Mytilus edulis: one gene and its partner. The protein of the gene in region 1 interacts with the protein of each later gene in a pairwise test. Links are inferred from orthologs where the notes say so. Each region holds a gene or a part of one and is shown on either strand. Other genes may lie near its edges.

The links.
Region 2: the proteins of dynamin-1-like (region 1) and NEDD4-like E3 ubiquitin-protein ligase WWP1 interact in binary tests that used the Caenorhabditis elegans proteins (3 or more experiments, as listed by UniProt). The link is inferred for Mytilus edulis from reciprocal best matches to the Caenorhabditis elegans genes dyn-1 and wwp-1.

What each region holds. Positions count from the first base shown.
Region 1 is NC_092345.1:45,841,243-45,847,086, forward strand, and holds the start of dynamin-1-like, read right to left. Parts: upstream 4,034-5,844; 5' UTR 3,955-4,033; coding exon 3,791-3,954; intron 1-3,790.
Region 2 is NC_092348.1:11,609,746-11,615,589, reverse strand, and holds the start of NEDD4-like E3 ubiquitin-protein ligase WWP1, read right to left. Parts: upstream 3,500-5,844; 5' UTR 3,413-3,499; intron 628-3,412; 5' UTR 604-627; coding exon 543-603; intron 1-542. Other genes in the region: RNA-binding protein NOB1-like, read left to right, coding at 3,729-3,797. UniProt on the Caenorhabditis elegans protein: E3 ubiquitin-protein ligase which accepts ubiquitin from an E2 ubiquitin-conjugating enzyme in the form of a thioester and then directly transfers the ubiquitin to targeted substrates. Ubiquitinates klf-1.

The DNA of each region.
Region 1 (5,844 bases):
TTCATACAAAAAGGTTAATAAAACAATTTTGATTTTGGGTCATTCGACCATGTCACAAAATAAGCATGCAAAAAATAGGGAATTCAACACTTCATTTATAAAATACTTTATTCAACAATAAACTTTTCATATGAGACTGTTTATATTATCTCTTCATCATGCAGTGAATTGATTAGCTACCTGCATTAAAACTCAAAATAATTTAAAATATCAAAAAATTCCTTTTTCTGGGACACCCATTGAAACAGCACTTTACTGAATACTTAGCCATATACATGTTTTATCTGGTAACAACTCTAAATGTAGACGAATAATTGCAGGAAGACATTTTTTCTTAATTTATTTACAATGATACAAGGAACCTTCTGCTGCCATAAACTTTAAAAAAAAAATCAAAATTCTACAAGTAACTTTTTTTTTCAAAATTTTCTTTAAGTTAAAAGATGGTTACTATTTTTACATCATACATTGTACATCACATAAATATAATTGTGTTTAAAATTTAACTTACTAAAATGCTTCACTTACATTTGACTTACATGACTTACTCCTCAAGTTACTGGAACATTTAAATGTCATAATTACTATTAGTTTAAAGGTCAATGAATGACATAAATTGGGGTCAATTTAAAACAGCACTGTCTTGTTAGCTGCACATCTATTCCTGATAAATGATATTGAATTCACAAAAAAAGCTTATAGCAGTCTGCATCATTTATGCATGATGAGTTTAATTCTTACTTGAAAACATCATCTAGTCCAATAAAACTTTTAATTTGTTGAAAACAAATTGAAGAAGCAAAAGTATGATAAACATGATAATGCAAATACATTAATGATTATATTATAATAATTATAATCGGGATTAAATTATAATAAATTCCCAAAATAATATTGTAAGGTTATTAGCAGTCTGAATATAATGAGTTTAATTCTAGCTTGAAAACTTGAAAAAATCTAGTCCAATAAATCTTAATTAAACAGTTCAATATATAAACATGAAAAACAAAAAACTAACCAAGCCTGAATTTTTTTTATTAAAAAAACAAGTCAAATCATGACAATGTGCACGATTTTGACAGTTTCAAATATATATCTAAATGATAGTCTTACTTTCCTACAAAATTTTCCAGTACACTACTCTTTCCTGCACTTTGACATCCTACGACAGCAAACTGCGGTAAATCAAATGATAATGGTGTTCCTAAAGTAGTAAAAGCATCCTGCAACTTATTCACAATGGGAATAAGCTGTTCCATGCCTATATTTCCTGCCATTTTTTGTTACTGTGTCTTCTTTTTTTTTCTGAACAATTTACTTCATGATAGATATAGGACTTCTTTCACATGTCAGACCAGTATTCAAAATTATATTTGAAAAACTCTTTTGACTTAAATACTCAAAGGAAGTGTGCATCATTTTTAGAAGTCATTTCTATAAATATTACAAACAAATGTATTTTCATTGTTTTAAATGAAAACTATTGTATGTCTTACATGTCTTATATATAAATATGAGTTCATATATGAGGTTGTTCTATTTTTAGCTTTTAAAAAACCCTGGACACATTAACCTACAGAAATTACATTATGTTCCGCATGAGTATTTTTTTTAGTGTAAATATACATGATATATATACCAATTCCATTTATATTTCCAAAATTTGCTTAAATGCCTTAGAGAATGACCAACTGTCAGATGTATACGGAAATGAGACAACAACCCAACAAAACAGAAAGAATTGTGATTACATTAATTATTCAATTAACAATGATAAATGCATATATGTATTCTGTCTGTATGAGAAAAAATATCAGAAAAAGATACTGGTCTAACTTTAAGTCTTCTTTTCAAATCTGTAATGTTTTCCTTTAATAACTCTACCTTTCCGAATATTTTTCTTTCTATAAGATCATTCATCTGACAAAGTCTTAACTCTCTTGACCACAGACCTGACAGACCAGACACATGTTTGATGACACTGCGTTATACAAATATCTAAAGTGTAGCTATCATCAAATTATCTCAAACCAAACTATTTCAAAGCTTTTTGATTAATTAACCAGAATTGTTACATTGGAACTTCTTTTATTATTTAATATCCTGGAGAAATGAAGACTTTTAGAGCAAATGCAATATGAACTGCATTATAAATTAATATTTCTAAGGTTTAAAAAATTACGGATCATCACCTTTTAGCAAAATTGTCAACATGGTCAAAGACATTGCAAATATAGACCTGTCCTATGGTTTAAGTTTCATAAAATTCTGGCAAGATTTTAAAACCAAAAAGTAATGATTCAATTATCCATTTATGAACTTTTCAAAGAGACATAACTCTTTTAAAAAGAATTAATTGACTCTGATTTAGTTATAGACCTCACCAAGTCATTGCTGATTTAAACCTATATTATGATATGTTTCATAAAAATCTAGCAAGAATTGAACACATGAGAGCACTAACAATTTAATTTTCCATATAATTATTTTTTTCCAAGAAGCATTACTCATTTGTACAAGACTTTACTAATATAAACCTATGATATAAGTATTATAAAACTCTGGCAAGAATTGTACATGTGAGAGTGCTAACAACATAAACAATACCAGACAAAGGCACAGACAGTTGAACAGATGGAAGCCTGGTGTTTCTATGTCCCCTGCAGCATGTTGCACAGGGCAGTGGCGGATCCAGAAATTTTCATAAGTGGTGGCCCACTGACTGCCTAAGAGGGGGCCCGCTCCAGTCATGCTTCAGTGATTCCCTACATAATCAAACATTTTTTTCCCAGAAAAGGGGGGGGGCCTGGGGCCACTGACAAAACCCTTTTAAATCCGCCTCTGTGGGGGACAACAAAATGAAATGCACATATAATAGATGAAATTAAATATTAATATGTTTAAATGTATTCTTCATGAATGCTCTTACTTCCTGATCTTTAATTAACTTCATGGTACATGTAAGTAGAAATGTTTCTACACTTTTAAAAAATAATTCAAACTATCTGAAATTTAAGATACATGTATGCTTCAGAGGATGTGGGGTACCGGTACTGTATGGGTGACTGGTCTCGATATTTTGAAATGTACTTATAGATTACAGATACATCTCAAAGAGATTAATTTCCTCGCTTGAGCCGGTACAGCGAAAATGAGAACAGCAATCAAATTGAGATGACCAATAAGTTTATAACAATCTGTTTATTGCTATTTTACCTATGAAGACGTTGTCTATTTCATGTCAGTTTCATTAGCAACGCCATATGCATGTGACCCCTTAGTTACTAGCGATAATTTTCATATCACTCGACTCTGCTGAGAAAGGAAATAATCATTCAGCAAGATCAAAGGAAAATTTCGTAAAATAGCAATAATATGAAATATACAAATATGTACCTAAGGTACAGAGTTGTCATACTCTAGACCGTTTCAGCTTATTTTATATTTGGAAAGTACTAGTGGTCCAACCTATCATTCGGTTTCACTTTGTAGTGTGTGTTTATATCACTAGAAGCTAAAAATTTTTACAAAATATTCTTGAAATTCATTTGAAATTTTGTGTATTCATTTTAGATTATTTTACATGAAAAGAGTGAAAAGTAAACAAATTATAACCCGATTTACGCCCCCTTGTCTGAGCCTTTCTGTATGTTTATTTATTAAGTGCTTGTGTAATTCTTTTGGTAGGAAAATAAACAGATGATATGAGTTATATTCATAATGTGTATTGCTGACAAAAGACTGTCATTACCACTGACAGCAACCTCTGATCAATTGATGATTATCTTACTTTCCTACGAAATTTTCCAGTACACTACTTTTTCCTGCACTTTGACTTCCTACAACGGCGATTTGAGGTAAATCTAAAGATAGGGGTGTTCCTAGAGATGAAAAGGCATCCTGCAGCTTATTCACAATGGGAATAAGCTGCTCCATGCCAACATTTCCTGACATTTTCGTTACTTCCGTCTGTCTATCCTTCTGAATAGTTTACTTCATGGCGGACAAATGATTATGCGAAGGCCGCTTATATCATTTCATAATAATAACAGATAAGCTCCACTGATATCATAAATCAAAAGGATGCCTGGAGCGTTTTGAATAATTTTACTTCATTACGTTGAAAATGTGTAACGTAATGTATTTTTTTCGATTGAAATACATTTTATTTTCTTATTTGAAAAAGTCAAGGGAGGCTACTCTATTTCAAAACTATTTCCTAAAAACGATGACACATTTACACACGGATATTACCTGAATTATTACTCATTTATTATTTTTAATGACACGATATATGAGAAATCTAAAATCTTTTATTTTGAATAGTATCCACTTAATACCATATTTGGTTATAGCAATACAGACACAAAACAAAAAGAAACTAAACAGGAAAAAAATGGAGATTCCGTGACCTAAAATTTTATATTTTTTACCTTTTCTTAAGCTGACTAAGCTTGGTATATTGAACATCTTTCAGTTTCTATTAGAATACAATAATCGTTTATTCTTATTTGTATCACATTTTTCTTGCTTCTTAGTTTAGTGAGATGAGAAGATTCCATATGTTTATTTATATTAGATTTAAGAAATATAATCATTTATAATTTCTATTTAGGATCTCAGAGTTCAGGTTACTAGAATAGATATAGGAAGATGTGGTATGAGTGCCAATGAAACAACCAGTCTCTCCATCTAAATAACAATTTATAAAAGTAAAGCATTACAGGTCAATGTACGGCCTTCAACACGGAGCCTTGTACAGCAAGTAATTTTTTTCACTTTAAAAGAGTTTCACTGTTTGAATATATATCCCCCTTTTACTGAGAGCTGTAAATTACGATTGTAAAAATTTTGATATGAATGTATTGATGATAGAATTTTTTTAAACTTACTTATCTTGCCTATGAAATGTTAACGACCTTAATTTCAATATTACCCTCTACACTTGACATTTAAGAAATTTTGTCAGCCGGATTTTTTTTAATTCTGATTTTCCTATCTTTTACGCAATATTTTGTTTTAGATACAATAACTTTATCATCTGCATATAATGGGTGCATTTTACTTTGCACTTCTCTGTCAGAAAAGCTTCCAGTTCATCAAGAAAAAAAAATACCAAAAAGGAGATAAATCACGTATTCACTGACTTGTGTCAGTAACATGTTATAATAGTGCACATGGAACTCAACAGGATCCAGAATTGCAAATTGGAAAACCAATATCTGCTACTAAATATTTGTTGAACATATTTTGGGTGCAGGTATAAATTAAATATTGTTAGTCTTTGACGAGTCGTTAAAATTTGTTCTTTCAATCGATTATTGTTCTTGCTCCATGCAACGCCATATATATCAATTGTCATGAAACTTTGCTCAAATGGTCAGGTTGACCTCATATGAAAGTCGTGCAAGTTTGAAGTAGTTATCAAAGGTACCAGGATTATAATTTAATACGCCAGACGCGCGTTTCGTCTACATACGACTCATCAGTAACGCTCAGATTAACATAGTTGTAAAGCCAAAGGTAGCACTCCACAGTTAGAAAATAAAATTAAAAATGAGCCCCAAAATGTTTTATCATCTCCTATTCCTGGATTTCTAATACATTAACCTAACTGTTTGTGTTGTACATGTGCATATGTGTGTAATCAGTATCTTCCATAGATTCAATTTTCCAAAGTTAAAAGGGTGAAAATTAATTCCTTTTATGTGTATCCATGGCAACATTCAGCATTTATTTACCATAAAATATTGCAAAAAGGGGGGTGAACATGTCATATATCCCCCCAAAATTTGGATCAAACTAGAATTTCAATGCCTTTGAGTGATACCTTTTTAGAAACTG
Region 2 (5,844 bases), on another chromosome or scaffold:
AAAATCCTAGAACACTGCATACCTGCTGAATTACATTTAGTACTCTTTATGTTTTTCATTCTGAACCATTTATTTCATTAAAAACAAATATTCCATTTCAAAATATTTGTCAAAGATTATTTATTTGTATACTGATTTTCAATCAGCTGTCACAGCACCACTCTAAATGACAGTTTAAGACATAGATGTGGAAACAAGGTCATTTAATTCTCAAGGCCAAAAATGAAACAAAATGACATGTTGGTTAAAAGGAATCCCAAAAGGATACAACTGCATGGTCTTCATGGTCTTAATAAAAACAAATTGATTTTCCTTTTATTCTCACCACTTCTCCCTATGATTCTGAGGCAGTGTTCTGGAGAAATATATCTTTTGATACAATTGCATAAATTCACAACATTCTTTGTCAAAAGTCACCATGAGAATGATTTTTAACTAAATCACAATGTAAATTTTGTATCTACTCATTTGACCATTGTATATTTTGACAGATATATAATGTATATAGGGTCAGGCAAAAATACATAGTATAAAATATTTACCAGTTACTTGTAACTGTGAGAATTGAGCATTTCCTTGTGCTGCAGAGGCTGCTTCTCCCATTATTTGGAAGTCTCACATGTACACCTGTAATACAATTCATAATTTTAAAAATATGATCAAGAGACTTTCATTTGTAGATGCAGAAGGTCAGCATATGATATTCATGGGCAACCAAGTTATACATGTTATAGAGAAAAGTATTACCAATTTTCAATCATGAATGTCAAGAAACAGGGTAAAGTTGTTAGTTTTTTATTGCACTGTACAAGTAAATTTTTGTAAACATGAACACAGCTGATTTTCGATTTCAGCCTTTTTCGGGTCACTTAAGATTTGTCAGTTTTACTATGCTGTCTGTATATAGATACATGCAGGCCCTATTCATTTGATTTTTATGCATTATACTTAAATAAATGTAGTTTGTGTGTTTTAATAATATAAATGGTTTCCTATGAAAATATTTTTTGGAACATACATGCAATTTGTTCTGGTTAATTGTAAACTCCAATACATCTGGCCAAAGATTGGAGTCTTATAACATGTATGACAATGCAACAGACAACTTTCAAGTTCGATGCATTTCTGTCAAAAACATCATGTGTGCTTTAAGGGGCCTTGTCACTTCAGTTCCCATGTTGAGCAATTGGTTGGAAAACTATGATTCTATCATGTCTATCTTGCACGAATTATTCGGCAAATTGGATTTGATAATTTACAATCAGCACTGCTGTCATTAGGGAATTGTGATTAAATACCTACCCAACAAACAATATTTCTAGTTTATCCTGCACAATGATGATCACTAATAGTGCAGGGATACAGGCAATCCCCTCTATCTGGTAAATCATGTCATAAAGACATGCATAATTGATGAGTTTTTTTCCAGTGACAGACAAACTTGAAAGTGGTCTATTTATATCATAGATAAAGAAAGATGTGGTGTGAGTGCCAATGAGACAACTCTCCATCCAAATAACAATTTATAAAAGTAAACCATTATAGGTCAATATGTAATCAACTTTTCCTCATCAATAAATATTGTTTCTTTTCCAAGATCATGAAAATATTGTCCTTAAAACATTGTAAACATGGTAAAACCATAATTCAAAATATTCTTGAATGTAATATGAGGCAGGCAATACCTCTGAATGGAGACGAAGTTTATGATTTTTCTTTTGAATCAACAATGTTAAAAAGAGAAACGGAAATACCATAACGTTTCCGATTTTGGTTCTGTTGTTAGTTGTGACGTCATATTCAATGTAAACAAAGAAACGCTGTCATCAGGTAACGTTATTTTAATAACAATAATTTTTTTTTTAAATGAATTAGTATTAGTTCCTTTCTTAGACATGTTAGACTGATAAATTATAAATATACATTTTATTCAAAGTCTCTTGTAAACAAGACCGGAAACAGAAGTAGATTTCTGCGCAGATCTGGAATTTCAAAATGTGACAAAAATAAAATTGAACGATTTTGAGTTCATTCGTACAATAAAAAATTTGGGAAATTTTCCCGATTTTTTTTTATTTTTTTTTATTGAATTTTCTACTAGAACTGTAATAGGGGACTTCATCCCCATATTATTTACTAATTATCAAAATATGATTAATAGATGTAGCTATTGAGAGTATAAAATATCAATGGGACAACAATGCTGACTACATGTACAAGTAAAAGACAATGAAAGAAAGGTATTTAAGGTCCATATATATTATATGCATGTACATGTATGATATTTGTTGTCTCCACCATTAACATCTGTCTAGTTCTTTCCACATTCAACATGTTCAAAGCACATTCTAATTTTCATGGTGAGGTTTTCCCTGATGTTTAATTTGTGTAAATCTAAATACAATCCCTTATACTTATCCATACTTTTAAATAAACTTATTGTAAAAGGAAACTCATTCAACACCAAATCTATTTGATGTTGGATGTACACTGGTTGATATTTTCCCTGTATTTAGTCTAAGATATATTATATTTTCATTAGTAGATACATGTATGTACAATGTATTTGGACTTTGAACTAGCTTTCAGTAACATGAGTACTCTCAAATGAGGGGTTGTCACTCATTTGATTTGTTCCCCATTTGGCGGGTTGTCTCCAACCTTTTATTTAAGGCTACAGGAACATTGAAAAATGTGCTCGCCCAAATGTGCTTGCATATTTCCACACAAAAAATAATGAGTCTTGCAAGTTGAATGAAAAATAACCAATATCTGATTTGATTGTTCTTTGATTTTACATCACTGAACCTAATGACATTTGCACAACTTACTCTTAAGATGTGCCATATAAATTATTTTGTTGTGATGCATAATATAATAATTTACAGGAAAACATTATTTTTCCTTCAAAAGACATGTTACTGATCATGCTGATAGATAACGATGTAAGCAATCTTTAGATTTTAAATTTTAAACTGTACAACTATACCTTTGTAATCATGATTTTTCAAAATTAGAATGTCTTTTAATCTATCTTACCTATATGTAATTATAATTCTTGTGAAATATGCGACTATGTCACATGATGTAATAAAAAGAGCTTTCAAAACCATGAAAACAGTCTATACTGAATAGTTTTAACTCAATTTATTCAATAGTCATGATAATAAAGGATCATATGGTGCATGTCCAATGATTAACAGATAATACTTTTAGGACAACATTTTACATAAAATATTTAAGTCGTGTGTAAAGCAGGATGTTGTTAAGTTTGCTGTGACAACTTTGACGATTTGCTATGTTTTCTTTTTTTCAACTGAAATATTTGATATATTTTTAAAACACAACTTTTTGATATGTGTGAGAATTTGTATTGGGGCATCCCTGCAATGCGCATTTTGACAATATTGACCTGTATTTGGTTACGAACGAGCACTGTCAAAACAGTTTGATGTCCACCATTTCTTATTGGTCATGTGATCAATGACGTCGAAAGTTGTTATATTCATATATGTTTTTACAATCTTTACAAAATATTCTATACTTTTTCCTAATTTCTGTGCTTTAAAATAAATGATTTTTGCAATAAATACCATTTTCTAATTTTTTTCAATTAAGATATTTTGTAAAAAAAATAAAATCATATAAACGCTTTAAAGTAAGACAAATAATCTCTATCAGAATAGTTGCCTTTTGACATTGAATCTCATGTGGACAGCAAATGAGAAATGTCACAAAAAAGTGTAAAGCATGTGATAGCCGATGCTGGGGCTTTCATACGAAATGCCCCATTACAGGTACAAACAATACACAATTACCATTTATTGATATCTACCAGGATGTTTGTTTTTTTCAACTTCACACATGTATGTTAAAGTACTAGTGAAGTGCCTTTTCTTATACCCCCTGACTAAAAGTTGTACTATAGTATATATAGCCTTACCTATGACGGTTAAAGTCTTCTCAAGCCTTATAGTACTGTTTAATATACTGGACAATATTAGTATTTGGATCACAAGTGTATGGTTGTCATGCCATATGGGCATACTCCTAGTCATACATATCATATCAGGTAATATGAGGCATTACCTGTAAATGAGGACGAAGTCTGTATGATTTTTTTTTAATTCAAACATGTTTTTAAAAGAAACGGAAATACCGTAACGTTTCCAATTTTGGTTCTGTTGTTAAAAAAACAGGGATGAAAGATACCAAAGGGATAGTCAAACTCATAAATTTATAACAAACTGACAACGCCATGGCTAAAAATAAAAAAGACAAACAGAAAAACAATAGTACACATGACACTAATTGTTAGGGATTTAGTTGTGATGTTATTTAGTTATGACGTCTTATTCAATGTAAACGAAGAAACACTTTCATCAGGTAACTTTTTTTTATATAAATTAATTAACCCTTTCAACGCTATACACAGCATATGCCGCGATGACATTATATGAAATATGATTTGATCGATCATTACGAGACGAAGAAAAAGGGGGGAAAACGGAGGTTGACTGAAAATTTTGAGGACGAAGCCACTGATTTGTGCCACGATTACATAATATGTTGTGTATGGTGCAATACGCTACGGAATCGAGCAATTGGTGTCGTCTTTATTATATGGCAGATAAAACAACAAAATAGATGAAGACTAAAAGTAGTTTTGATTCAAAATTCAACATAAATGTAATAAATTACACCTATTACCTGTTAATTACCTGAAAATGCAGGTAACCTGATAATAATTTTACTGAAATAACTGCCTAATATTACAGTTCATACTCTCCTGAGCATTTTTCATGCTATAACTTTCTCTTTATCTTTTATAATAAAAAAGATACAGCAGTCTGAAAAGGAATATACTGTTCTAATGAATGAACACAAAAAAAAATGCAGCAGCAGCAGCCATTGTCTATTTTTTTGTGTAGCATTGAAAGGGTTAAAAATGAATTGGTATTGAGTTCCAATCCTATAGTCCTGAGTTCTATAGTATATTGAAAAATTCGGGAAATTTTCACGATTCTTTTTTTTTTATTGATTTTTCTACCGTAAATGAGGCAGGCATTACATGTGAAAGGGGACGAAGTCTATGATTTTTTTTTTATTCAAACATATTTTAATTTCAAAACGGAAATACCGTAACGTTTCCGATTTTGGTTCTGATGTTAGGGATTTTAGTTGTGACGTTGTTTAAGTTATGATGTCATATGCAATGTAAACAAAGAAACGCTCTCATTAGGTAATTTTTAAAGGCAGTGCTTTAAGGCCTGACTTTTAAGTCATGAGGTTCATCTTTTCATACGCAATCTATGCTGGGGGTCTTTTGGCCAGAAATAGATCCGGAAATGTTCGAATTTCTCCTCTTCTTTTTATGGTATGATATGGTTTTTGTTTCTTTCATTTACATTGGGGACTAAAGAAACGATCAGTGTGTATTGTTCGTTTTATAGAACTTGTTATTAGTGTGTATTTTGCATTATAAGCAGTCAACCTGACTACAAACTATCATTATTAGTATATTCCGTGTGGAAAGAGGTCGGGTCAATTTCAAGTGTTATCTGACATCTAAAGATTCTTTAATTAGTTCAGACGTTGATATAACAATGAAAAGTCGACTGAACATGATTAATATTGCACCTTCTATAATTCAAAGCGGAATTCGGTTTATGAACGAGAAACCGTAAAGCGTTTTCAATTTCGGTATTAGTTATGTATGTTGTCTACGTATTATCCTGGTTCCCGGTACTACGTTCCGGGTATTAGCTATTTGATATATTTGATGTGTAACATTACAATCGGGTACCAGCCAATCTACGTGTGTATGTGTACATGATTTACCGC